Linked DNA regions of Mus musculus. The protein of the gene in region 2 purifies or fractionates together with the protein of the main gene of each other region. This does not show direct contact. Links are inferred from orthologs where the notes say so. Each region holds a gene or a part of one and is shown on either strand. Other genes may lie near its edges. The genes, in order: Hspb1, Isg15, Flnb and Vcp.

What was found.
Region 1: the proteins of Isg15 (region 2) and Hspb1 purify together in Homo sapiens (affinity purification with mass spectrometry; 3 studies listed by BioGRID, with this or other methods). This does not show direct contact. The link is inferred for Mus musculus from reciprocal best matches to the Homo sapiens genes ISG15 and HSPB1.
Region 3: the proteins of Isg15 (region 2) and Flnb purify together in Homo sapiens (affinity purification with mass spectrometry; 3 studies listed by BioGRID and IntAct, with this or other methods). This does not show direct contact. The link is inferred for Mus musculus from reciprocal best matches to the Homo sapiens genes ISG15 and FLNB.
Region 4: the proteins of Isg15 (region 2) and Vcp purify together in Homo sapiens (affinity purification with mass spectrometry, with the first as the bait; 3 studies listed by BioGRID). This does not show direct contact. The link is inferred for Mus musculus from reciprocal best matches to the Homo sapiens genes ISG15 and VCP.

What each region holds. Positions count from the first base shown.
Region 1 is NC_000071.6:135,885,292-135,891,040, reverse strand, and holds Hspb1 (heat shock protein beta-1), read right to left. Parts: upstream 3,123-5,749; 5' UTR 2,983-3,122; coding exon 2,607-2,982; intron 1,993-2,606; coding exon 1,929-1,992; intron 1,801-1,928; coding exon 1,611-1,800; 3' UTR 1,478-1,610; downstream 1-1,477. UniProt on the Homo sapiens protein: Small heat shock protein which functions as a molecular chaperone probably maintaining denatured proteins in a folding-competent state. Plays a role in stress resistance and actin organization.
Region 2 is NC_000070.6:156,198,005-156,203,399, forward strand, and holds Isg15 (ubiquitin-like protein ISG15), read right to left. Parts: upstream 2,815-5,395; 5' UTR 2,705-2,814; coding exon 2,702-2,704; intron 2,063-2,701; coding exon 1,580-2,062; 3' UTR 1,420-1,579; downstream 1-1,419.
Region 3 is NC_000080.6:7,815,328-7,821,543, reverse strand, and holds the start of Flnb (filamin-B), read right to left. Parts: upstream 3,588-6,216; 5' UTR 3,393-3,587; coding exon 3,101-3,392; intron 1-3,100. UniProt on the Homo sapiens protein: Connects cell membrane constituents to the actin cytoskeleton. May promote orthogonal branching of actin filaments and links actin filaments to membrane glycoproteins. Anchors various transmembrane proteins to the actin cytoskeleton.
Region 4 is NC_000070.6:42,991,741-42,997,507, forward strand, and holds part of Vcp (transitional endoplasmic reticulum ATPase), read right to left. Parts: intron 4,604-5,767; coding exon 4,492-4,603; intron 4,329-4,491; coding exon 4,156-4,328; intron 2,089-4,155; coding exon 1,946-2,088; intron 1,540-1,945; coding exon 1,409-1,539; intron 1-1,408. UniProt on the Homo sapiens protein: Necessary for the fragmentation of Golgi stacks during mitosis and for their reassembly after mitosis. Involved in the formation of the transitional endoplasmic reticulum (tER).

The DNA.
Region 1 (5,749 bases), on a different chromosome or scaffold from region 2:
ACACCCCAGGAAGCTACCTTGAATTGCCACATCTCCTGTACCTTCTCTACAATACTCCTCCTCCTCCACACCTGGCCTCTGGACAATGCTGTTTTTAATAGTATTTTAAATTTGTATTTGTTTATTTTGTGGTATTGATAGAGTTTCAAAACAGTTGGGTTTGGAATGTGCTATATAGCCAAGGCTGTCCTTCAACTCCTGATCTTGCAACCTAATGCCTCCTAAATGCTGGGAGTACAGGTGTGAACTAGGGCATAAACTGAGGGTCCCGGCACGAGATGTATAAAGTAAGGCATGACCCATGCAAGGCACGGCTGAGGAGAAAGATTTTATTGTAGATATAGGGGGAGGAGACCAGCCAGAGGCAGCTGGAAGAGTCCAGAGCAGGGAGAGAAATTAGCAGATTGGCCACGGCCTGTGGACTGGACCCGCCCATGAGGTAGGGGTGAGGGGGAGCAAGAGAGAGAGTGAGGCAGAGTGTGGACAGACCAAGGGAGGAAAGAGGGTGTACAGTCAACTAGGAAGGTTAAAGAGAGGCTAGGGAGGGAAGCTGCGCTGAGGTTAGTGTAGGGGGTGGGAGAGGAGCTGGGCTAATACGGAGGAAGCCTGGAGGCTAGCCTGCACTTTGATATGCTAGTAGGGACAGTGGAGAAGTAAATTTCTCTGTTCATAGAGAACAGGACCAGAGGCTGGGAGAGAGGGGGTTGCTTTGGATCTGACTGGCTCTTGATCCTTTTTTTTTTTTTTTTTTTACTCTTAAGATATTTTCATGTGAAAAAAAAAAAAAGATGTTTTCATGTGTCCCAGGCTGGCCTCAAACTAGCCATGTAGCCCAGGATAACCTTGAACTCCTTTCTGATCCTTTCTCCACTTCTGGAGGGCGCCACCATACCCAGTTTATCCAATGCGGGGGATCAAACATTACTTCACGGATGCCATGCAAACCCTCTACTGAGCTTCTGTTTTGTTTTGCTCTTCTGTTTGTTTTTGAGACAGCAAGTACATGTGTGGCCCAGGCACTCATAGAACTCACCCTGTAGCCCAGGCTGGCTTCAAATTCACACTGCTTTTGCATCCGTTTTTGGATACTGGAATTACAGGAGATGTAATTATACCATCATTATACCCAGCCTGGTAAACTTTTTTTTTTTTTTAAGATTTATTTATTTATTATTATATGTACGTATACCGTAACTGCCTTCAGATGCACCAGAAGAGGGTGTCAGACCTCATCACGGGTGGTTGTGAGCCACCATGTGGTTGCTGGGATTTGAACTCAGGACCTTCGGAAGAGCAGTCAGTGCTCTTACCCGCTGAGCCACCTTTCCAGCCCCCCTGGTAAACTTTTAATCTCCAGGTTATCTCTTTTCCCACAGGAAGGGCCTGAGCCCATAGTGAGCACTTAGCAAAGACCCCAAAGGGTGTTCCAATTTAGCACACCCATCCCTAGCCCACCATAATAACTCTGGAGTCAGACGGTGGTGAGCAGTAGCTTGCAACTTTTATTTGAGAAAAACAGCAGGTAAATGTATGTATCAAAAGAGCGCACAGATTGACAGAGAGGGGTGGCCAGCAATGGCTATGGGAGATAGGCAGCAGGCTGATGGCTTCTACTTGGCTCCAGACTGTTCAGACTTCCCAGCTTCTGGGCCCCCAATTTGGGCGCGGGCCTCGAAAGTAACCGGAATGGTGATCTCCGCTGACTGCGTGACTGCTTTGGGCAACGGAGCCTCCACGGTAAGTGTGCCCTCAGGGGATAGGGAAGAGGACACTAGGGTGGGGTCCACACCTGGAGGGAGCCTGGACACACAGAAAATCAGGGCAAGGGTTACACATCCCTCCTGACCCGGGGCTCTTCGCCCTCCGCCCTGGGTCCGCTCCCCCTCCCCCCCACCTCCCCGCCCTCCATGCAAGGAATCAGAACTCACGTGTATTTCCGGGTGAAGCACCGAGAGATGTAGCCATGTTCGTCCTGCCTTTCTTCGTGCTTGCCTGTGGGTGGGGACAGAAGGTCAGAAGCAGCCCTCTGCTGTCCTAGCTAAGGAGTGGCTGGGACCCCCCAGGGAGGCAAACAAACCCGAGTGCGGCGGGGTGCCTGACTGTCTGGAATCTTAAAACTTTCCAGAAACTTCCCTTCTGAGATTTGGGATGCGAAGGGCTTGGCTCTGACCCAGACTTGGATACCAGGGTAGGTATACTCAAAGCCTCTGCGGCTGGGTCTAGGGACCCTGATCCTGCCGCTTGCTTATTTGGGAATGAGGTCTTCCAGAAGGTGTGTTGGGTCTTCCTTCATTTTGTTTCTGTGCTGCGGGTGGAACGCAAAGCCTCAAGGCCTCCCGGCAGGCCAGGCGAAGCTCTACCCTGAGCTACATCCCCAGCTGTTGGTCCATATCATCGAAGATGACAGAGCTTTTAAGAGCAACCTGCACCCCGCGTTCCGGGGCAAGAGAAGCAGGCAAAGGAGAATGATGCGGGCTCCGGGTCCCTAGGTTCATTTCTAACTTCTCAGGGTTCTATTCCTCAGGGTTTCAGCCCCCACCCTCAGCCCCCCAGCCACCACTCTCGCCTCGGCAGCTTCGTCCCCTCTGGGCACAAGGGAAACTCACCAGTGATCTCCACCACGCCTTCCTTGGTCTTCACTGTGAGCTCCTCCGGAGCGAAGTGGTTGACGTCCAGGGACACGCGCCAGCGATCAGCCGTCTGTCGGATCTCCGAGACCCCGCTGCTGAGCTGTCGGTTGAGCGCTCGGCTGAAGGCTGGTGCGGCCAGGGTCACCGCCGCGGGGCCCTCGGCGGTCGCGGCGGGCAGCGGGCGCACGTATCCGGGCCACCCAGCGGCGCTGAACCACTGCGACCACTCATCGGGCAACCGGGGCACCCCGAAAGCTTGATCGAAGAGGCGGCTGTGTGCAGGGTACCAGTCCCGGAATGGTTCCCAGCTCGGGCTCCGCAGCAGCGAGAAGGGCACGCGGCGCTCGGTCATGTTCTTGGCTGGTCAAGGCTGAGGATCTAGAAGCACTGGGCTGAGGATCCGAGAAGTGCCGGACTGGAGCCCCAGCGTGCTTTTATGTGTGCCCAGCCGGGTATTTTTAGCAGGCGGTGCTTCAGGTCTCTATTAATGGCAATGACCGTCTCAGGGGCCGCCCCTCGCCGCCCCTCCCCTCTGCATTCCTCCCCCTAAGCTTGCAAAGGGGGCGGGCAGGCGGGGCCAGGAAGGTTCTGCCCCCATCTGGAAACTTCTCTTGTTGAAGAAAACAAATGACGGCGTAATACCGGTAGCTGGAGCGATTCCCACTGTCGGGTTTAGGACACTGCTGGCTGAAGGGCGGTGGCCTGGGGCCAGCCCCATTTTTTATTGAGAATAACCAGGAGAGGTTAGGTCTTTTGTGTCGCAACTGGGAAGCAACTGAACCTGGTCTGAACCAGAAGGAGGCCCGTGGGAACACACATGTCATGGCACACCTGTGGAGGTCTCATGACACCGGCAAGATAGCTGTCTTCTATAGTGTATCTCCTGGGGAGCAAAGGCTTCGTGGCAGGCGCCTTAGTGTTCACTGAGTATCTTTCTGACCCAGAAACTGACTTTCTTTCTTCTTTCTCTCTTTCTCTCTCCTCTCTCCTCTCTCTCTCTCTCTCTCTCTCTCTCTCTCTCTCTCTCTGAAGTAGGATTTTTCTTTTTTTATTTTGATGCTTTTTTTTTGTTTTGTTTTGCTTTGCTTTTTTTTTTTTTTTTTTTTTTTTTTTTCTGAAGACAATGTTTCTCTGCATAGCCCTGGTTGTCCTGGAACTCACTTTGTAGACCAGGCTGGCCTCGAATTCAGAAACCCGCCTGCCTCTGCCTCCCAAGTGCTGGGATTAAAGGTGTGCATCACCACCGCTGGGCTATTTGATGCTTTTTTTTTTTTTTTTTTTTTTGGTTTTTCGAGACAGGGTTTCTCTGTATAGCCCTGGCTGTCCTGGAATTCACTTTGTAGACCAGGCTGGCCTCGAACTCAGAAATCCACCTGCCCGTGCCTCCGGAGTGCTGGGATTAAAGGCGTGCCCCACCACACCCGGCCGCTTTTTTTTTTTATTATATATATATATATATATATATATATATATATATATATATATATAATGTGTATCAGTGTTTTGCCTACATGAATGTCTGTGTGAGAGTGTTAGATCTTGAGTTACAGAGAGTATCAGAAATTGGAATGCCAGGTGGGTGCTAGAATTTGAACCTGGATACTTGTACTGGCTGGTTTAGTGTCAAATTGATACAAGCTGGAGTTATCACAGAGAAAGGAGCCTCCTTTGAGGAAATACCTCCATGAGATCCAGCTATAAGGCATTTTCTCAATTAGAGATCGGGGGGGGGGGGGCATTGTGGGTGGAGCCATTCTTGGGCTGGTAGTCTTGGTTCTATAAGAGAGCAAGCTGGGCCAGGTGGTGGTGGTGCACGACTTTAATCCCAGCACTTGGGAGGCAGAGGCAGGTGGGTTTCTGAGTTCGAGGCCAGCCTGGTCTACAGAGTGAGTTCCAGGACAGCCAGGGCTATACAGAGAAACACTGTCTAGAAAAGACCCCCCCCCAAAAAAAAAGAGAGAGAGAGAAAGAGAGCGAGAGAACAAGCTGAGCAAGCCAGGGGAAGCAAGCCAGTGAGAAACATCCCTCCATGGCCTCTGCATCAGCTCCTGCTTTCTGACCTGCTTAATTCCAGTCCTGACTTCCTTTGGTGATGAACAGCAATGTGGAAAGTGTCCGCTGAATAAACCCTTTCCTCCCCAACTTGCTTCTTGGTTATGATGTTTGTGCAGGAATAGAAATCCTGACTAAGACAGTACTATAGGAAGGGCAGGCAGTGCCTCTAACCATTAGACCATCTCTCAGGAGACATCGAACCTGGAACCTGCAAGCTGGATGAGTAGGTATCCCCTAGTATCCTCCTGGTTCTGCAACTGCCCCACCCCAGCGCTTGCTCGGACAGGAGGCACAGGCCACACTCAGCTCTTTTTTGGTTTTGTTTTCTGTGTGGTTGTGGCTGTTCTAGAACTCTTTAGACTAAGCTGGCCTGGATCTCACAGATTGGCCTGCCTCTTCCTCCAGAGAGCCCGGCTTAAAGGCAAGCAGCATCACATGGGGCCACCCTCAGTTTTTATGTGGGTTGCTGTGTGTTAAGTACAAAAGAAACTGGGGTCAAAGGGCTATCTGTGGTGTCTATTAGCATACCAAAGAGCACCCTGGCCTGGGGGCTCATGGCAATAGGAATACTCTTCTCAGCCCTTCTCACCCTGTCCCTTACCCCAAACTTCTCCAGCTCTTGGGGCTCCCCTCTCCCAGCTTCTCATCCCTGTATGTGCTCTCTTGGTCCTCTCTTCCTCATCCCTCTCTCTTGGTCCTCTCTCCCTCATCTCTCTCTTGGTTCTCTCTCTCTCTCTCACATCCCTCTCTCTTGGTTTTCTTTGCCTCATCTCTCTTTGCTTTGTTTGTTTTTTGTTTTTTTGAGACAGGATTTCTCTGTATAGCCCCTGCTGTCCTGGAACTCACTCTGTAGACCAGGCTGGCCTCGAACTCAGAAATCCGCCTGCCTCTGCCTCCCGAGTGCTGGGGTTAAATGCGTGTGCCACCACCACCCGGCTCTCTCTCAACTATTGTCCATGCCCAATCTGCCCGCCATATCAGTTCTGGACTCTTGCAGATGCCCCCGGCTGTACTCTCTCATCATGTCCTCGGTTTATACACTGCGGACCCAAACTCAGTCCCCA
Region 2 (5,395 bases):
CCCCTGCCGATGGCCGGTCAGCGGTGACTGTGCCGAATGCGCCCAGACCCGCCCAGTGTGATGCTCCTTGTGGACTTAAGTCTTCTCCAGTCTTGCTACAGAACCGTCCCCGCCCCCTCCGTCTCTCCCTCTGTGGACCAGAGCTTCCCCAGCTTGGCCTGGCTAAGTGCAGGATATAAACCGAGGCCCCCGGGAGCCAAGCTAGCACTAGACCTACAGGAGGTTGAAAGAACGCGCAGGGCGGTGGTGGCGCACTCGGGAGGCAGAGGCAGGTGGATTTCTGAGTTCGAGGCCAGCCTGGTCTACAAAGTGAGTTCCAGGACAGCCAGGGCTACACAGAGAAACCCTGTCTCAAAAAACCAAAAACAAAACAAACAAACCGAGAGAATGGGTGGGGGGGGGGGGGATAGGGGATTTTCTGGATAGCATTTGAAATGTAAGTGAAGAAAAAAATTTTGGAAAAAAAAAAAAACAAAAAAAAAACGAGAGAAGACACTATGCTATCTTCCATAGGCTGTTGAGCCAGAAGCCAGAGTGAAGTGTGAGTGTCAGCAGCTCTTCCTCCTGAGAAAGACTCCACCTTCTGGACCCAGATTTGAGGTCGCATCTACACAGTGGGCTCCAGCGTTGCTAGATCTGGCATCACCTAATCCAGATAAGCACAAACACACCAACCAGAAGGGGGTCTTCTGAGGTTCCACTCAAATTCTCTTAAAGGTCTGAAGGACCACAGAAGGACTTGTACTGACTTGCTTGTGCCCTAAGCGCACTCAAAGGCCCGAGTAAGCTGATAGAGGAAAAGACAAAGAGCCATCAGGCAGAAAGGGGGGTGAAGCTTTTTCAAATTGGGTGCCTCCTATCTGAGACATGATGTCCTTTGTGGACAGATGAGCCTCCAATTACTTGTGCCCATCTAACCTGCCTATAGTGGCCTCTTTATAGCCCCGATGAGGATGAGGTGTACTTGCTAACTACCATGTCCTAAACAGCAGGTGGCTGATTTGAATGGTGAGACCCCATCCTACCCTCTGTGAACTAGTGCAGGTGGGACTAGGAACACATACAAAAGAACACATCACCCTCCTTCACAGCTTACCCAGGTAAGAACATTCCTTCACTGTTCCCAAAGGATCTCAGCAGTTCACTGGTTCCATTAGGAGCCTCATCCTGCTACTGGTAGAAACTGGCCTAACCTGTCCCTGAGCCATATGTAGACATGGGGACATTTTTAGGGCCTGGCTGAGACTAAGGACTGGGTCCCAGCAAAAGTGTCTTTCTCCAGAAGTGAATTAATTACTCAAAGGGTCTGGAAGGGGCATTTCCTCACTAGGCTCTCACTGTGAAATCCTTGTCTCTTAACTTGGCAACCCAGAGCCTTCTCACCATGGATAGAAGGGCATTTCTGGAGAGGGACAAGCAAACAAGAGGCAGAGCTTTTTATTGCATCATCTTTTTTTTTTTTTGATATTTTTTCTAATTAGGTATTTTCCTCGTTTACATTTCCAATGCTATCCCAAAAGTCCTCCATACCCCCCCCCCCATCATCTTTTATAACCAACACTGGCTCTGGATGGGGGCCTTAGGCACACTGGTCCCCTCCCCCACCCCTCAGGCGCAAATGCTTGATCACTGTGCACTGGGGCTTTAGGCCATACTCCCCCAGCAGCTCCTTGTCCTCCATGGGCCTTCCCTCGAAGCTCAGCCAGAACTGGTCTTCGTGGACTTGTTCCCGCTGGGACACCTTCTTCTTAAGCGTGTCTACAGTCTGCGTCAGAAAGACCTCATAGATGTTGCTGTGGCCCCTTTCGTTCCTCACCAGGATGCTCAGAGGCTCGCTGCAGTTCTGTACCACTAGCATCACTGTGCTGCTGGGACCCAGACCCAGACTGGAAAGGGTAAGACCGTCCTGGAGCACTGCAGTTTGGTGGGCCAGGCGCTGCTGGAAAGCCGGCACACCAATCTTCTGGGCAATCTGCTTCTTCAGTTCTGACACCGTCATGGAGTTAGTCACGGACACCAGGAAATCGTTACCCCCCAGCATCTTCACCTTTAGGTCCCAGGCCTGCAAGCATCACATGGATTTAGGAGTGGTTCTCAACCCTCCTAATGCTATGACTCTAATAAAATGTTTCCATTCTTTAATACAGCTCCTGGAGTTGTAGTGACCCCCAACCATAAAACTGCTTTCATCACTACTTCATAACTGGTTTTGCTATATGCAGGATATCTGATATGCGACTCCTGTCAGAAGGTCATTCAGGCCCCCAAAAGGTTCCTGAATCCTTTGGCTGAGAACCACCGGCTTAGCAACTTTGGCTGGGAGTTACTACATGCAAAGCACCAGTCACAGGGCCAGCCCCCACGTCCATCCATGTCCCCCCCCACCCCCACCCCATCCTCTCCTCTATTAGGGGAACCATCCAGGTATATGATACGGAGGCCTCGGTTCTAAAGGGTCCCACAACCATCACATTGTTTCAGTTCACCCATAAAGATAGCCTTCTGGGCCCAGCCTTAAGGGATCTAGAGCTGGTATCTGAGCAAAAGAACCTGCCCCCCCCCCGCCCCCCAGGAGTGAGCTTTAAACAATTATATTCTGTTCTCATACTGTGACTATTCTGTCTCTGGAAGACCCTATCAAGGAATGGAGTAAAGTCAACTAAAATGAAACCCATCTGCCTCTGTCCCAAATTGGACTCACCATTGCTGCAGGCTCTAGCTCTAGGTCCCCTGGAATTAAGGAGTCTGCTTCTGGCTGCTTGCTCTCACAGTCAGAGACTGGATCGACTCTCAGAGTCAGAGACTGGGTCGACTCTTTTAAGTATGAGCTGTGGGTGTGAAGAGGCGGAGTTTCCAGAAACCAGAGCTATTTTCTGTTTCGGTTTCCTTTTCCTACGGCATACCTTAAATGAGTGGGAAAACCAAAACTGAATGAAAAGAAACTGTAGTTGGGAAGGAAAGGGACTGGCTCTCAAGGGTCAAAGCTGTAACCAGGCCTGTGTGCTCTAAAACTCCCTAAACGCCCTTCAGGTCCTTCACAAGGCATGTAAAAGTCAGAATAGGAACGAATAATAGAAAATGTATTTGTCGTTTGTTAGCTTGGAAATTAGTTGTCTTGGAAAATGGCATAATAATTCAGAAACTGCATAACATAGTACCAATCAGAATTGCCCAAAGACAACTGCTATTGGTTATTAGTTTAGAACAATAGTTTTTTTTTGGGGGGGAGGGGCTTGTAGGAAGCATTTCTGTCCTAGAACAGTTTATTAAGACCCTATTGTAGCTGGGCCAGGGCGCACACCTTTGATCCCAGCACCGGGGAAGCAGAGGCAGGTGGATGTCTGAGTTCAGGGCTAGCCTGGTCTACAGAACAAGCACCAAGACTCTGTCTTGAAAAGCCAAGAGAACAAACAAAGTATTGCTCACATCAAGATACATTGAGTCAGATGAGTTTGTTTTTGAAGTAGTCTTTGCTATGTAGTCCATGCTGGCTTCAAACTCACTTTAAAATTGGCCTTAAACTGGTCCTTCTGTTTCTCCTGCTCATGTTCTGAGATTTTAGTGATTCATCTTCTGTGCCATTTTCTGCAGTTCTGGGAACAGAACCCAGAGCTTCATGCATGCTAAGTAAGTACTCTAACAATTGAGTTATATACTTAGTACTCAGTTTTGGTTTTTTTTTTGTTTGTTTGTTTTTGTTTTTTTGGTTTGTTTTTGTTTTTGTTTTTTTTTTTTTGTTTTTTTTTTGTTTGTTTGTTTTTTGTTTTTTGAGACAGGGTTTCTCTGTATAGCCCTGGTTGTCCTTCTGGCTGTAACTCACACTGTAGACCAGGCTGGCCTCAAACTCAGAAATCTGCCTGCCTCTGCCTCCCAAGAGCTGGAATTAAAGGTATGTGCCACCACTGCCTGGCTTAGATTTTTTTTTTTAAGGTTTAGTTTTAATTATGTGGATACAGTGTATTTGGGGGGGGGGGATTGTGTATATGTGAGTGCAGGAAATTAGAAATTTAGAAGAAGGAACTGAATATATAAATTTTCTTTCTTTCTTTATTTTGCTTATATGCATGCATATGTGTGCTTATACATGTCAGAGATTAATGTTGAATGTTTTCTTCAATCACTTTCCACATAGCCATCTTTCCAGCCCAATATTTAAAGAAAATTAAAGAAGTAGGACCACCAGTAGGGTGTCTAGCCCCTCCTGTGGTCTCAGGCCACCTCCATTGAATGGAGGCAGCTGCCAGGCTACGCTGTGCTTAGTAACCTGAGTACAAAATGTCTGTATGTATAGCAGTGTAACTCAGAATGAAAACAATAGCAACCATTAAAATAATAATGGCCCTGTTTTTCTTATTTTCCTTTGGAAAAAAAATTTGGTGTGTGTGTGTGTGTGTTTTGAGACAGGGTCTCACTATGTAACCCTGGCTGTGCTGGGACTTACTCTGTAGACCAGGCAGGCCTCGAACTCACGGAGCTCTTTCTGTCTCTGCCTCTTGAATGCTACATTAAAGGCACGTGCGGCTGTGCCTCACTTGCCCTAAGTTTTTGAGTTCTTCTTGGCTGAACTTAGCGGTGGGGTAATTCAGGATACATCACTGGCACCATGACATCATCCCATCTGGTTTCTGTCACCACTGATATCCTTATCCTTACACTGCACGAAGTCGTCCTTCCGCTGCCCTGTGATATCAGTTGATGTCACTTATCAGGTGACCAGGACCAGTTGACCCCTCTCTAGTCTCGGTGTCTGGTGTTGGTTCATCTTTCTACCCAAGCTTGTTCCCAGACCTCTGTGTTAGTTTCAGGCTCCTTGCTGGAAACAACGCTGCCCATGAGCAAATGCTGTTCGGCTGAGGAGACAAGTGGCTGTCTTGATCCTGCTCGGGTCTTGGGTAGGGCTGTGTGAGGAGCCTCAGTGGGTCCTGACTTCACAGTCCTGAGGATTTGCTTTCTAGTTTTTGGAGAAATATCCTTCTGGATTTCCTACCAGGTGCTCATGACTTGCCTCCCATACCCTCTGGTGCTTCTTCTCCAAAACTAAGTGAGCCAGGAGCCCCCGCCCCGCCCACTCTAACCCGAGACCTCTCGGATGCAACGTCGTCGGGTTCACTTTCGTAGCCGGAGATCGGCTACGCGTAACAACCGGAGAGGGCGGGCGGCAGGCCGGGCTGGAGGCTGGCTCTTCATTGGCTGGGAGGAGTGTGGGAACTGAAGTCGAGAAGGATTCACAGCCCCGCCGCTCCCCCCCCCCCCCCCCCGTCCGCCGTATTTAAGCGCTCAGAGCTCGGCCTCCGGGTTCGGTGTCGCAGGCGCTCGCCCACGCGGTGCGCACCGGGGCGCCAGGTACAGCGTGGAAAGCCGGGCGAGCGTCTCAGCCCTCGCTAGCTGGACCTGG
Region 3 (6,216 bases), on a different chromosome or scaffold from region 2:
CAGAAGTTATTGGCAGATATGTCACTGGCCTCTGGCAGCTGCTGACCATCTCATGTCTCACAGCTGGGTTTACGGACATGATTCTAAAGGTTCTCACAGTGTAAACTGTTGGGCGTTAGCCACGGTGTACAGCGATGCTCTGAATTCATCCAATAAGCATCCCCCGTTATGGAGTAAACATGAGCCCCCGGAGAACAAGAATGCTCAATAAAACGCCACCAATGGAGACAGCAGCTATTCCTCAACAGTCAACCAACCGCAAGACAAAACACCTCCTGACAGTTACAACATTTAATTCCAGGAGATGTCATCACAGCTCAGAGGATTAATCTTGCCTCTCTCTCATCAAAGACCCCCATGATCCCTACCTACTGCGTCTGAGGCTAAGGTTCAGACTGTGGATATCCAGCTTCAACACCCTGGAACTGCAAAGTGTAAGTAAGCTCTACCAACCCTTCTATGCAGGGAAGAGGAAGGGAGGCTGTATTGGCTCTCTGACACTAGAAAGAAATCCACTCGAAGTTCAAATTCAATAGCTTGGCAATCATGCATTCTGGGCTCCGTGGGCTTCCTAGCCCTGTTGCCTCTAGAATTTGGTTCATTTCTGTTTCCTGTCTTTTTAAGTAGGAAACACTAATACTAACAACAGCATCATTAACAACAGCAACTGCTTTCTAAGTAACATGTGGCAGCCTAGGACAGAACTCAACCCCTGCCTGACCCTCTAGGGGACTGTTAGAGAAGATCATTATCAGAAGGACATTAATTGATATCAATTGATTGATTATCCTGGCTATTCAATGGGAACAGTCAACAGAACATACAGTGGGTGGCCCTAGTAAAAACTGTCATGGCAAGCACAAGACAACACACGCGAACCAAGGTCCAAGCCAGATGACATTTTTTTTGGGCTGGTCATTACCTATGACATCTATCCCTAGGCCTAGGCTCCATTTCTTCCTGCAGCAGTCTGGGCCCCTGGCAAGATGGATAGGTCTCCAGAGGCTGGAAAACCTGTTTGCTGAGAGATCTTTCTGGAAAGCAATAGGGAGGCTAGGGAGGAGTTGTATGTGGTCACACCCTCTAACCTAGGAATACTACTCTGGGGAATATGATCCAAGAAGTATTTTAAAGAGACAAATCAAACAGTACAACTTGTGAAGGACTACTGACACAGCTGGCCATGGGTAACAGATGAATGGAAGATAACTGTGAGATGTTAGGCAATGGGGGGCTCAGGCCTCAGCAGGTTCGAGTGGAAATCATGAGGACCAATTAGAAAACTGTGAGGGACCACCAGGCAAGGCCAGAATGAGACCCACAAGCTTGGAGGAGCATGGCTGGGAGCAGCAGCCCACGAGTAAACAGCTAGTCAATTAGGAAGTCCTTGATTTTCTGGGGCTGTGATTTCTTTTCTTTCTTTTCTCCTTCTCCTTCTCCTCCTCCTCTTCCTCTTCCTCCTCCTCCTCCTCCTCCTCCTCCTCTTCCTCCTCCTTCTCCTTCTTCTTCTTCTAAAAGCAGTTCTGTCAGGTTTAACTCCTGGTTTAATTTAATTTTCTTTGTTGAGTTAATGAAATACATATAGCATTTAAAACAATGGATGAAGGCAAGTCCAGCTCAGCCAGGCAGGCTTTGAAAATCACTCTTCATAGGAAAGTAGAGTTCCTGTAGAATTCTGAGGTCCTCCCTCCTCAATAAAAGAGATGCCCACCCCCCATGTGATGCACCCCTGGCAGCTTCCTCCACTGAGAACCCACCCCTGGGAGGGAGAGCTTGCTGGGAGGCAGGCTGGTAGCTAGCGGCCTGGCCCCAGGAAGTAGCAAGCGCATCTACCTGCCAGCACAGGTGTGGGGAAAGTCCAGGGCGAGGCCAGGAGGAGGCTCAGTCCAGAGGGAACCCCTTTCCACTAGAGAAAGTCCCAGAAGCCACACCCACCTTCCTTCCTTTCTGTCACTGGAGTCACTAGAATGGCCTTGCTTCCTCAGGAAGAAACCTCAGCCCTAAGAATCCCTTTCACGAAGTGCACACATCCTCTACATAATACTTTGCACACCCACTGTGTACGGAAAAAAAAAACTTTCATAAATAGATGCTATATGTGCACACACGAATGCCTACGGGGGCAAACAAGTGAGCCCGGGCATAATACACACCTCCCTTGTCCATCACAAAACACATTCTCAAGAGCCCTGTTTTCTCTTTAGAAGCCTAAAGTACTCGAGGTCTTAATTCTCTCACCCAAGGCGGGAGGAAAAAAGCAGGACTCAAACTCTCTCAGGAAGACCCAGGAAAAGGGGGTGGGGACTGCTTTACTTCTAAGTTGGACCACATTGGAGGTGGCCCTGGGAACGTCAATTAGCCCGGTAAACGTCCCCTCTTCTGTAAAATGGGCCTAAGAACATCTCAGGCCACCGGACGTCAATAACTCAGAGAGCCACACAGCCAGCGCCAGTCAAGCCCTTTTCTACACACATTAATTATTATCAACCACTAAATTATCTCAACCTGAAGGAACCGGCCAGCGCTGAGCCAGAGCTAGGAAGTGAGGACATTCCCCTGTGACGCCCCTTCCAACCTCAGAGCCCACACCCATTCCGGTCTAAGAAGGGGAGGGTCTCAGGTCCTCGTCTCCACCTAGGTGGTGAGATCCTAAGCAAGAGAGCGGTCGCGGTCGCGTCCTAGGTCTCCACGCCCAGACTCGAAGCCAACGCCCTTTCAGCCGGGCGGGTCACTCAGCTCTAGGCGCACCTGGCTAGCGTAAAGTAGGGATTTGGTACTTGAGTCCACGGCGTTGTCATTAGGGTCAGCAGACGATTTCCCCAGCAATCCCAGGAGTTCCCGCAAATTAAATTCCAGGTGTGACTGGAAGGTCTGAGTGCTTAACCCACCCCAACACTGCAGCGGCACCGCCAGGAGCACCGTGTCGAGCAATCACGCCAGGTCCCAGCCCACAGATGGCACCGCGGAAAGGCCTATGTTCCTAGGTCCTCATCCCAGGACCATCTCCCCCTCCCTCACACCCGGGAAGCGATGCGCAGTGGGGCGCGCTGCCGGATACCCCCCGATTACTGCAAATTTAGGGCCTGGCCACAACACTCACCAATGGACACGAGCTTAATGCTTTCGTGGTCTAGGAACTCCAGAGCCACAGACACATTCTCCAGCTTCATCTGTCTGAAGGTGGGCCGCTGATGGTACTTGTGGTGCATGCGCTTCTGGCTGAGCACCTCGAGCAGCGCGATGAGCCGTAGCCCGTCGCTCAGGTCGGTCTGCAGGTTCCCGATGCGTTTATTCACACACTTGAGGTGCTCGTTGCACCAGCGCGTGAACGTGTTCTGCTGAATCTTCTTCCACGGCGCGTCCTCCGCCAGGTCTTTCTCCGTCACCGGCATCCTGGAGGCAGAGAGTACGCGGAAACAACGAGCTGCAGGGACTGAGATGAAAAGCCCCAAGGGCCCGGGGAAGGGGAACTGAGGCAAGTGGGGAGAGGGTTAGAAAGCGCTGCTATACTAGCCGCAACAGGATCAGGACTGCCTTCGTCCGTCCCCGGGCGCGAAGTAGCCTGGCCTGGCGCCTGCGCGCTACGCCGCCCCGCCCCCGAGGCTCCGCCCCGTTTCTACCCTATAGAAGCGAACTCCTTAGCTGCGCTCGCCCTCTACGGTCCAAAGCCTGCATTACGCCGGAGGGTAGGGTGGGGTGGTGCTTCCTAAGTATCCCCAACCTGATGTACTGCCCAGCAAGGAGAAAGTAACTTGGGAAAGGCCTAGAATAAGGGCACACGAGGAGGCGGGGGACTAGCCTAGAAGGAATGGTTGCGTCAAGAGGGAATATGCCACCCATCTATAGGTTCAGTGAGAGGAAAGTGTTTTTCTCAGAGTCTGCACGTAAATTAGACACGTTGATTTCTAAATGAAAAGGAACTCAGAGCTGGGCGTGGTGGCGCATGCCTTTAATCCCAGCACTTGGGAGGCCGAGGCAGGCGGATTTCTGAGTTCGAGGCCAATCTGGTCTCCAGAGTGAGTTCCAGAACAGCCAGGGCTACACAGAGAAACCCTGTCTCGAAAAAACAAAAACAAAACAAAACAAAACAAAAAAGAAAGAAAGAAAAGGAACTCAGCCTTAAAGTCCAATACCACGTCCATCTGAGTAGCAGTAGTGAAAACGAACTGTTTTCTATGGCTATTAGAAGTTTTTTGCTGGTGTAACACAGATTTCCTGTCTTGCATGTCAGTAAGTTAGATGTCCCGTCTGGGGTTCATTGGCCCAAGGCATTTCTTGCTGGAGCTTCTGGGAAATAATCTGCTCCTTTGCCGTGCCAGATTCTAGACGCTAGGTGCATGTGTTGGCTTACGATGCCTTTCTTGTCTTCAAAGCCGGTAAAACAAGGCACAGATACCTTTTTCACCCTGTCATCTCCTCAGTTCTCCATAGTCAGGTCTTCCTAGAACTCTCTTGAAGACCCTGTTGACTGTATTAGGCAAATTGATTAGTCCAGAAGATCTTGTTATGTTTTATTTTTTTTAACTATGATGGCCAAGAAAGGGCCGGATAAATGGGTCATGGCACCTACTGACCGGTGTCCCTCTTCTCTTCCCTTTGCCTGAGAATTCAGTTCCTTTCTCTCCACATCCCAAGCCTGGTAGCCCTCAGCTCAGCTTGGCTGTCTCCCCCCTGGCCCCCCAGTGTCGAGGAGCAGATGGAGATCTAAGGTCTCGAAGAAACTGAAGATACGTGTCTGACATGAATGATATCTGTTCCATGCTGGTCTGCATACCCCAGCAAGAGGTCTAGAGTGATCTCAACTACAGCTGAGTACCTGGTGTAGAATTGCCATATGAGATGTAGACGACAGATGAGTGAGTGGGTGAATGGATGGATGTGTGCTTGCAGACTGAGGGGGGCAGCCTTCATCCTGCATGCAGAATCAACTGGGGTGTGGGACACCCATCGTGTGAGACCTACAGCCTGACATTTCAGGCCTGAAGAATCTACATCCTGTCCCTGCCCTGGGTGGGGTGTTTGCTCTACTCATTTCCACAAAGCAATTAACTGCAAACATATCAATCCAAGGAGATTGATACTAGAAAGCCCAACAGTCCTTCCTGCCTTATAAGGAAGCTCTTGTCACTGACCTCTGCTGGTTCAGGCTCCCAGTGTCTGCTCTCATTCCAGCTTTTATACTTTCCTTTGGTATGGAAGAAACAGTAATAATACTAGGAGAACACCTCACAGTTTATCTTAGTGACTTAGCTTTCTGAGTCCTTATACACCCAGGGAGCGAACCTGGATCCTTAACTTCATTTTCGTTTGCTTGCCATTTTCCTTGTCCATAACATCAGATCTAATTATCTCTCCAGATTGAACTCCTGAGAGTGGGTGTGGGGGGACCTTTGCCACACAGAACTTGGCTCACTTACCCCTTCCTCCTGGAGGGAAACGTCAGCTATCTACAGGGTGTCACTAGACCATGCAACCGTACAGTCGAGTACAGAACAATAGGGCAAAGCTTCTGGTCCTATATAAATACAGGTTGTATATGTGTATATAATTACCTGTCGGTGCATAAAATACCTCTGGGATGATTCATAAGCAAACAGTAACCAAATTCATAGCCAACATTACGTTGGCGAGACAGAGTCCTTATACACCCATTTTCTTTCTTTTCTCAAGATTTATTTATTGTATGTATATTTATTTATTTAATGTCTATGAGTACACTAGCTGTCTTCAGACACACCAGAAGAGGGCATCAGATCCCATTAGAGATGGTTGTGAGCCACCATGTGGCTGCTGGGAATTGAACTCAGGACCTCTGGAAGAGCAGTCAGTGCTCTTACCCGCAGAGCCATCCCGCCAGCCTGGGAGAGGTATTTTCTTTTCTGCAGTGTGCTCAGTCGTGTGCAGCTCCCCTCCCCCAAACAGGGTCTCATATAGTTCATGTGAGCCTCAAACTCCTCATGTAGCCAAGATGGCCTTTGAACTTTTGATCCTCCTGTTTCCACCTCCTATGTGCTAAGATTGCCAGCATGTATATCACAGTGGCCTTAGAATTTTTTAAAGTCAATTAAATTAATATTTGTAAAATTCAGATTTCAAGTTGGAGGTGAACTCAGTGACTGAGGTCCTGTGTAACAAGCACAGTGTTGCTTGTTGGTGGAAGAAGCTGGCAAGCATCCCCCTTACTCTGTGGTCAAAGTCAGCCTCACCTGTGAATGG
Region 4 (5,767 bases), about 110 Mb from region 2:
GCACTCATTCAGGATCAAACTGGGTTCCACCCATCCCAGGTGCTGCCTTCCCCTTCCTGCCTGGCAAGTGGATGTGGCACACCAGTGGTGCCTGGGTACACAGGAGACCAGAAACCACAGCAGTAGTTCCAAACTCCACTGTTTTCCATTTGGAAAAAACCAGACTGAGTTCTACCTCCCGAGTGGTTGGTGTGTGCCAGACAAGCAGTCTGGCACTGAGGAGCTGGAATACAGAATATTCCTTAGTGGTGGTATAGCCACTGGTAAGCTATAGCTGTTCAATAACCTCCCCCCTACATGATCAATTCTAAATAAACTGAGTGGGCCACCAAAAGGGGGGGGGGGTGCTGGAGAGATGGCTTAGGGGTTAAGAGCACTGGTTGCTCTTCCAGAAGACGTGAGTTCAATTCCCAGTACCCACATGACAGCTCACAACTGTCTGTAACTCAGGTCTCAGGGGAGCCAACATGGACATGGCGTATAGACACACACGTATGTACACTACCCATTCATGTAAATAAAGGTTTGAAAAAAAAGTTATGAGAATAGGGAGACCTTTGAGGGGGATCAGTAGAATTTTGCACACAGTGGCACATGCCTTTAATTCCATCTTGGGAGGCAAAAGCAGGCAGATCACTGTGAGTTCCAGGCCAGACAGAATAACATAGTGAGACCCTGTCTCAAAAACAAACAAAAGGAAGTGGAGTGTGATAGGAACATGATCAAATATAGCCATGTGAGTGCTGGGAATTGAACCCAGGTCCCCTTGAAGAACAGCCAGTGCTCTTTTTTTTTTTTTTTTTTAAATGTATTTATTTATTTATTATATGTAAAGTACACTGTAGCTGTCTTCAGATGCACCAGAAGAGGGCATCGGATCTCATTACGGGTGGTTGTGTGCCACCATGTGGTTGCTGGGATTTGAACTTCGGACCTTCGGAAGAGCAGTCGGGTGCTCTTACCCACTGAGCCATCTCACCAGCCCCCAGCCAGTGCTCTTAACCACCAAACCACAGCCCATCACTTCAGAGACCATCATTCTAGACTCAAACTTAAAACAATATTCCCACCTCCACCTCCTAAGCATTAGGATTATTGGCATATGCCACCACACTCAGTGCCAATCATTTACATCTTTCAGACTTCATCTTAAACTCATGGGATTGGGTTCTTTCAAGAAATTCTTAGGTGGTTTTCGACTTCCATTAATTTAAGGCCATCCAATCTCCAAAAGTATTCATTTTGATACACAACATGAATACTACCTGAGTGGTAATGATTTGGGAGATGAGGATGTAATTCAGGGGCAGAGTACTTACCTAACATGCACAAGGCCCTGGGTTCAAGTCTCAGCACCACAAATAAAAAGCCAAATAAAACCGTGAACTGGGATTAGGGAGTAACTCACCTCTCGCTTGATTGGCTCCCCCTCACAGTGGATCACTGTGTCTGGAGCAACAATACAGTAAGGGCTGGGATCTGTCTCTACAACTTTGAACTCCACAGCACGCATCCCACCCCGGACAAGAAAAATATCTCCTATAATACAAAGCAATACAAGTGCAATTAGAGGTGTCAAGTACAGGACCAGAAACTTCTTCACTAGACCGCATGATCTAAAATACAAAGCTCAGTAGCTATTACTTATGCCTTCCTTCCCTACCCCAGGCAATACTAAAAAACAACTCTGTATTATACTCCTGTTATAAACAGCCTAAGCTTTCACTACAACCAACAATGGTAGAGCTGTACACTTTCAACTTGACAGCAACCACATTATCCTTCAGAGAGGCATGAGAACTGCTTACTATCCTAGAGCACTGAAGGGAGGTAAGAGAGCAGACAACTGAATATGTGTGCAGGCTATATCTATATAGGAAAATAACATGGAATTGTTCCAAAGTTTACTCAAGTAACAACTGTTCTTAAACTCAGTTTCTCTCACCTTTACGGATGGGCCGATAAGCTTCCAGGAAGTACGGCTTAAGGTATACCTCAAAGAGATTGCCAGTGATGCCTTCCACTGTGTCATCGATGGGTAGAACGTGGATACGTTTGCCATACTTTACATCAGGGCATGGCTGGATGCTGAGGATGACAAGCAGACTCCACATTACCAACCACACTGCAGCCCCAAGCACTGGGTGTCCGAAAGGGCCTGGCACAGACAGCTGATGGCAAGCGAAAGAGAAAAGGCAGGGATGGCCTTAGGTGAAGAGGAGGAGGAAAGCAGGGTGGGAGAGAAGGCAAAGGAGCAGCCAAGCACACTAAGACAGGTCACATTCACGATGAGGTAGCAGAAGCCCCCCCATTACTAAGCCAAAATTAAGAATACTTGGAAGCCCCACATATGCACGGTACTACCACTGGAGTCTTCAATACGGAAGATTCAACAATGATAATCCTTTCTAGCTAGTGTCAACCATCTCCTGTCTCTCAGAACTGAGATTACTGTGAATAAGTAGTATGTGCTACCATGTCTAGTCTTCTAGTTAATATTAATATTCCAGTATTACCGGGAGGAGGGGGAACAAGGTTTTACAACTCAATCAAAAATTAATAATCTCTGGCCGGGCAGTGGCGGCACATGCCTTTAATCCCAGCACTTGGGAGGCAGAGGCAGGCAAATTTCTGAGTTCGAGGCCAGGCTGGTCTACAGAGTGAGTTCCAGGACAGCCAGGGCTACACAGAGAAACCCTGTCTTGGGGTGGGGGTGGGGGAACTCAACTACAGTATCAAAACACCATGAGAAAGCTAGGTAGTCTAAAGAAGAAAGTACTTAAAACATAGTAAGACTTCATTAAAAAGATTTCAGAGACTGAATAGTCCTGGCCAGATAACTACAAATTCTGGAAGCCTCATACCTAACTGGGTACAACCAAAAATCACTCATACCACAGCAGTCCTAGTCAAATTATAAACTATGCTCCTCCCCACTAGGTTTATTATCTGTTTTGCCTTTTGGAGACAGGCTCTCACTATACAAACCATGTTAGCCTGAACTCAGAGACTCACCAGTCTCTGTCACCCAAGTGCTGGAATTAAAGGTATGCACCACCACCAAGCCAGGATTAGGTTTACTTATTTTTTTTATTTTATTTTTTCTAAAGATTTATTTATTATATATCTAAGTACACTGTAGCTATCTTCAGACACACCAGAAGAGGGCATCAGATCCCATTACAGATGGTATCGAGCCACTATGTGGTTGCTGGGATTTGAACTCAGGACCTCCAGAAGAGCAGTCAGTGCTCTTAACTGCTGAGCCATCTCTCCAGCCCCAGGTTTACTTATTTTTAAAAGAATTCCTTCCTATTCACATTTCTACTTTATTTCAGCACCATTACAAGCCATTAAGCAGTCACAGCATTATGATCATTAGATATAGTGTAGATACATCTGTGTATCATTTAGTAGCTATATATCCTCATATAACGTCTCCAATCCAGTTATGAGGAATTATACTCCCCAGTTGGAAAAACATTTTAAAAGGCATCAAGAAAGCCATATGTGGGCTGGAAAATGGCTCTGCAGTTAAGAGCACTGGCTGCTTGCTCTTTCAGAGGTCCTGAGTTCAATTCCCAGCAATCACATGATGGCTCACAACCACATCTGTAACGGGATCCAATGCCCTCTTCTGATGTGTCTGAAGACAGTGGACAGTGTACTCATATAAATGAAATAAATAAATCTTAAAAAAAAAGGAAGGAAGGAAGCTAGCTAGCAAGCCATTTGTCCTAAGGACCGTGCAGGGGTGGAGTCTCAAGTCTAGAAAGGCAGTGCAACCTACACACAACCCTGGAAATATTCCCATGACCATGTGCATTTATTTCTGCAGCTGCCTAGAATTCCATCCTGGTTGCAATGCAGGGGGGAGACGGTGTCTATAATGCAGATTCTATCTGGTCTCATTTCCCTTTTTTAAATATTTATTTATTCATTTATTTATTTACTGGTTTTTTTTTAGAAACAGGGTTTCTCTGTGTAACCCTGGCTGTCCTAGAACTCATTCTGTAGACCAGGCTGGCCTCGAACTCAGAAATCCGCCTGCCTCTGCCTCCCAAGTGCTGGGATTAAAGGCGTGCGCCACCACTGCCCGGTTCTGGTCTCATTTCTAAGAGACCAAGGATCTATATCTCCCACTTTCATACAAACCTGATGACATCTCCTAGGCGAACTCGGAGGTTATTCCGAACAACTCTATTCATTCGAATCTTCTCATCAGAACACGTGTCATCAGAAAGAACAATGCATACAGCTTCCCGTCTTTTCTTTCCTTTTAGCAACACCGTGTCACCTCGGAACAACTGCAGTTCATCCATCTTGGGCTAAGAAAGAAAAACCAAAGGCTAAGGACTTTGGGTCACTGACCGTTAGATAGGCTAGAATTCCATATAAACCCCACTTTATCCCTCACTGCAAGAAAAATGGCAAAAGAAAGCCGGAAAATCTCTCTACTTAAGTAAAGACTGGACCGGACACCCAACTTACCTGGGACAAGGACACCACGCTGTTATCTTCATTGATGGCTTCATCAACAATTAACCGATTGGGTCGGTTCTTCTGTTTGAGAATGGCTGTTGATAAATCATCACCTTTTGAACTAGAAGGAAAAACTAAAGTTAGACCTAATAGATACTGACCACCAACACTAAGATTCACTAAGGAAAGAATGGATAGACAAAGCTAAAAGAAATCCAGATAAACTCATGATGAACGTAGCCAGCATTTATTTCATTCCCATTCCACATCTTAGTATTTTGAGTGCTGCTATTCCAATCTGTTAGCCCCAGGGATCCTATGCCAACATAGGGAAACTGGCCAAAGAATATTAAAAGATATAACAAAAGTAAAGGCTCAAAAGCAACCAATAAAAAAAAATTAGTCTTATAGACTCTTAGACTCTACAGAACAGGGCTCTACAACAAGACCAATTAGGTCTAAATTCCAACTCTGACCATACTTAATTGTGATCTCACTTAAGTTAATTAACCTGGTTGGACTTTGATTTCTTCATTTGTAAAATGGAGACTGTAAGACCTCTCAATATTCATTCTTACATTTTGAGACAAAAAAAATGTAAATGTTTTCATAATGTCTCATACATGATCATCATGATCAATTCTAGAGCTTTAAAGAAGTTTTTTTTTTAAAAGATTTATATGTTATATGTAAGTACACTATAGCTGTCTTCAGACACTCCAGAAGAGGGCATCAGATCTCATTACTGATGGTTGTGAGTCATCATGTGGTTGCTGGGATTTGAACTCAGGTCCTTTGGAAGAGCAGTCAGTGCTCTTAACCACTGAGCCGTATCTCCAGCCCTTAAGTTCTTCTCTTACTGCCTGTTTTCCAAGGGAATTAAGAGACTATGCTTAACCAAGCAAGCCTCAGAACAACAGAACACAATTCTTAGCCGTATCCACCGCCCCCCCACCCCCAAATAAACCTGATGAACCTAGAGCATCTCCTAGTATCACAAGAATACCAGGCACAAAACAAAGAACATACAGTAAAAAGAGATACATAAGAGGATAAAAACACATCCATAGAGGCAGAGGCAGGCGGATTTCTGTGTTCGAGGCCAGCCTGGTCTACAAAGTGAGTTCCAGGACAGCGAGGGCTATACAGAGAGACCCTGAGTCGAAAAACAAACAAAAAAACAAAAACAAAAAAACCCAAACTCATAGATAGTTGCCTGCCTCTGCCTCCCAAGTGCTGGGATTAAAGGCTTATCTATCTATGAGTTTGAAGACAGATGGATTGG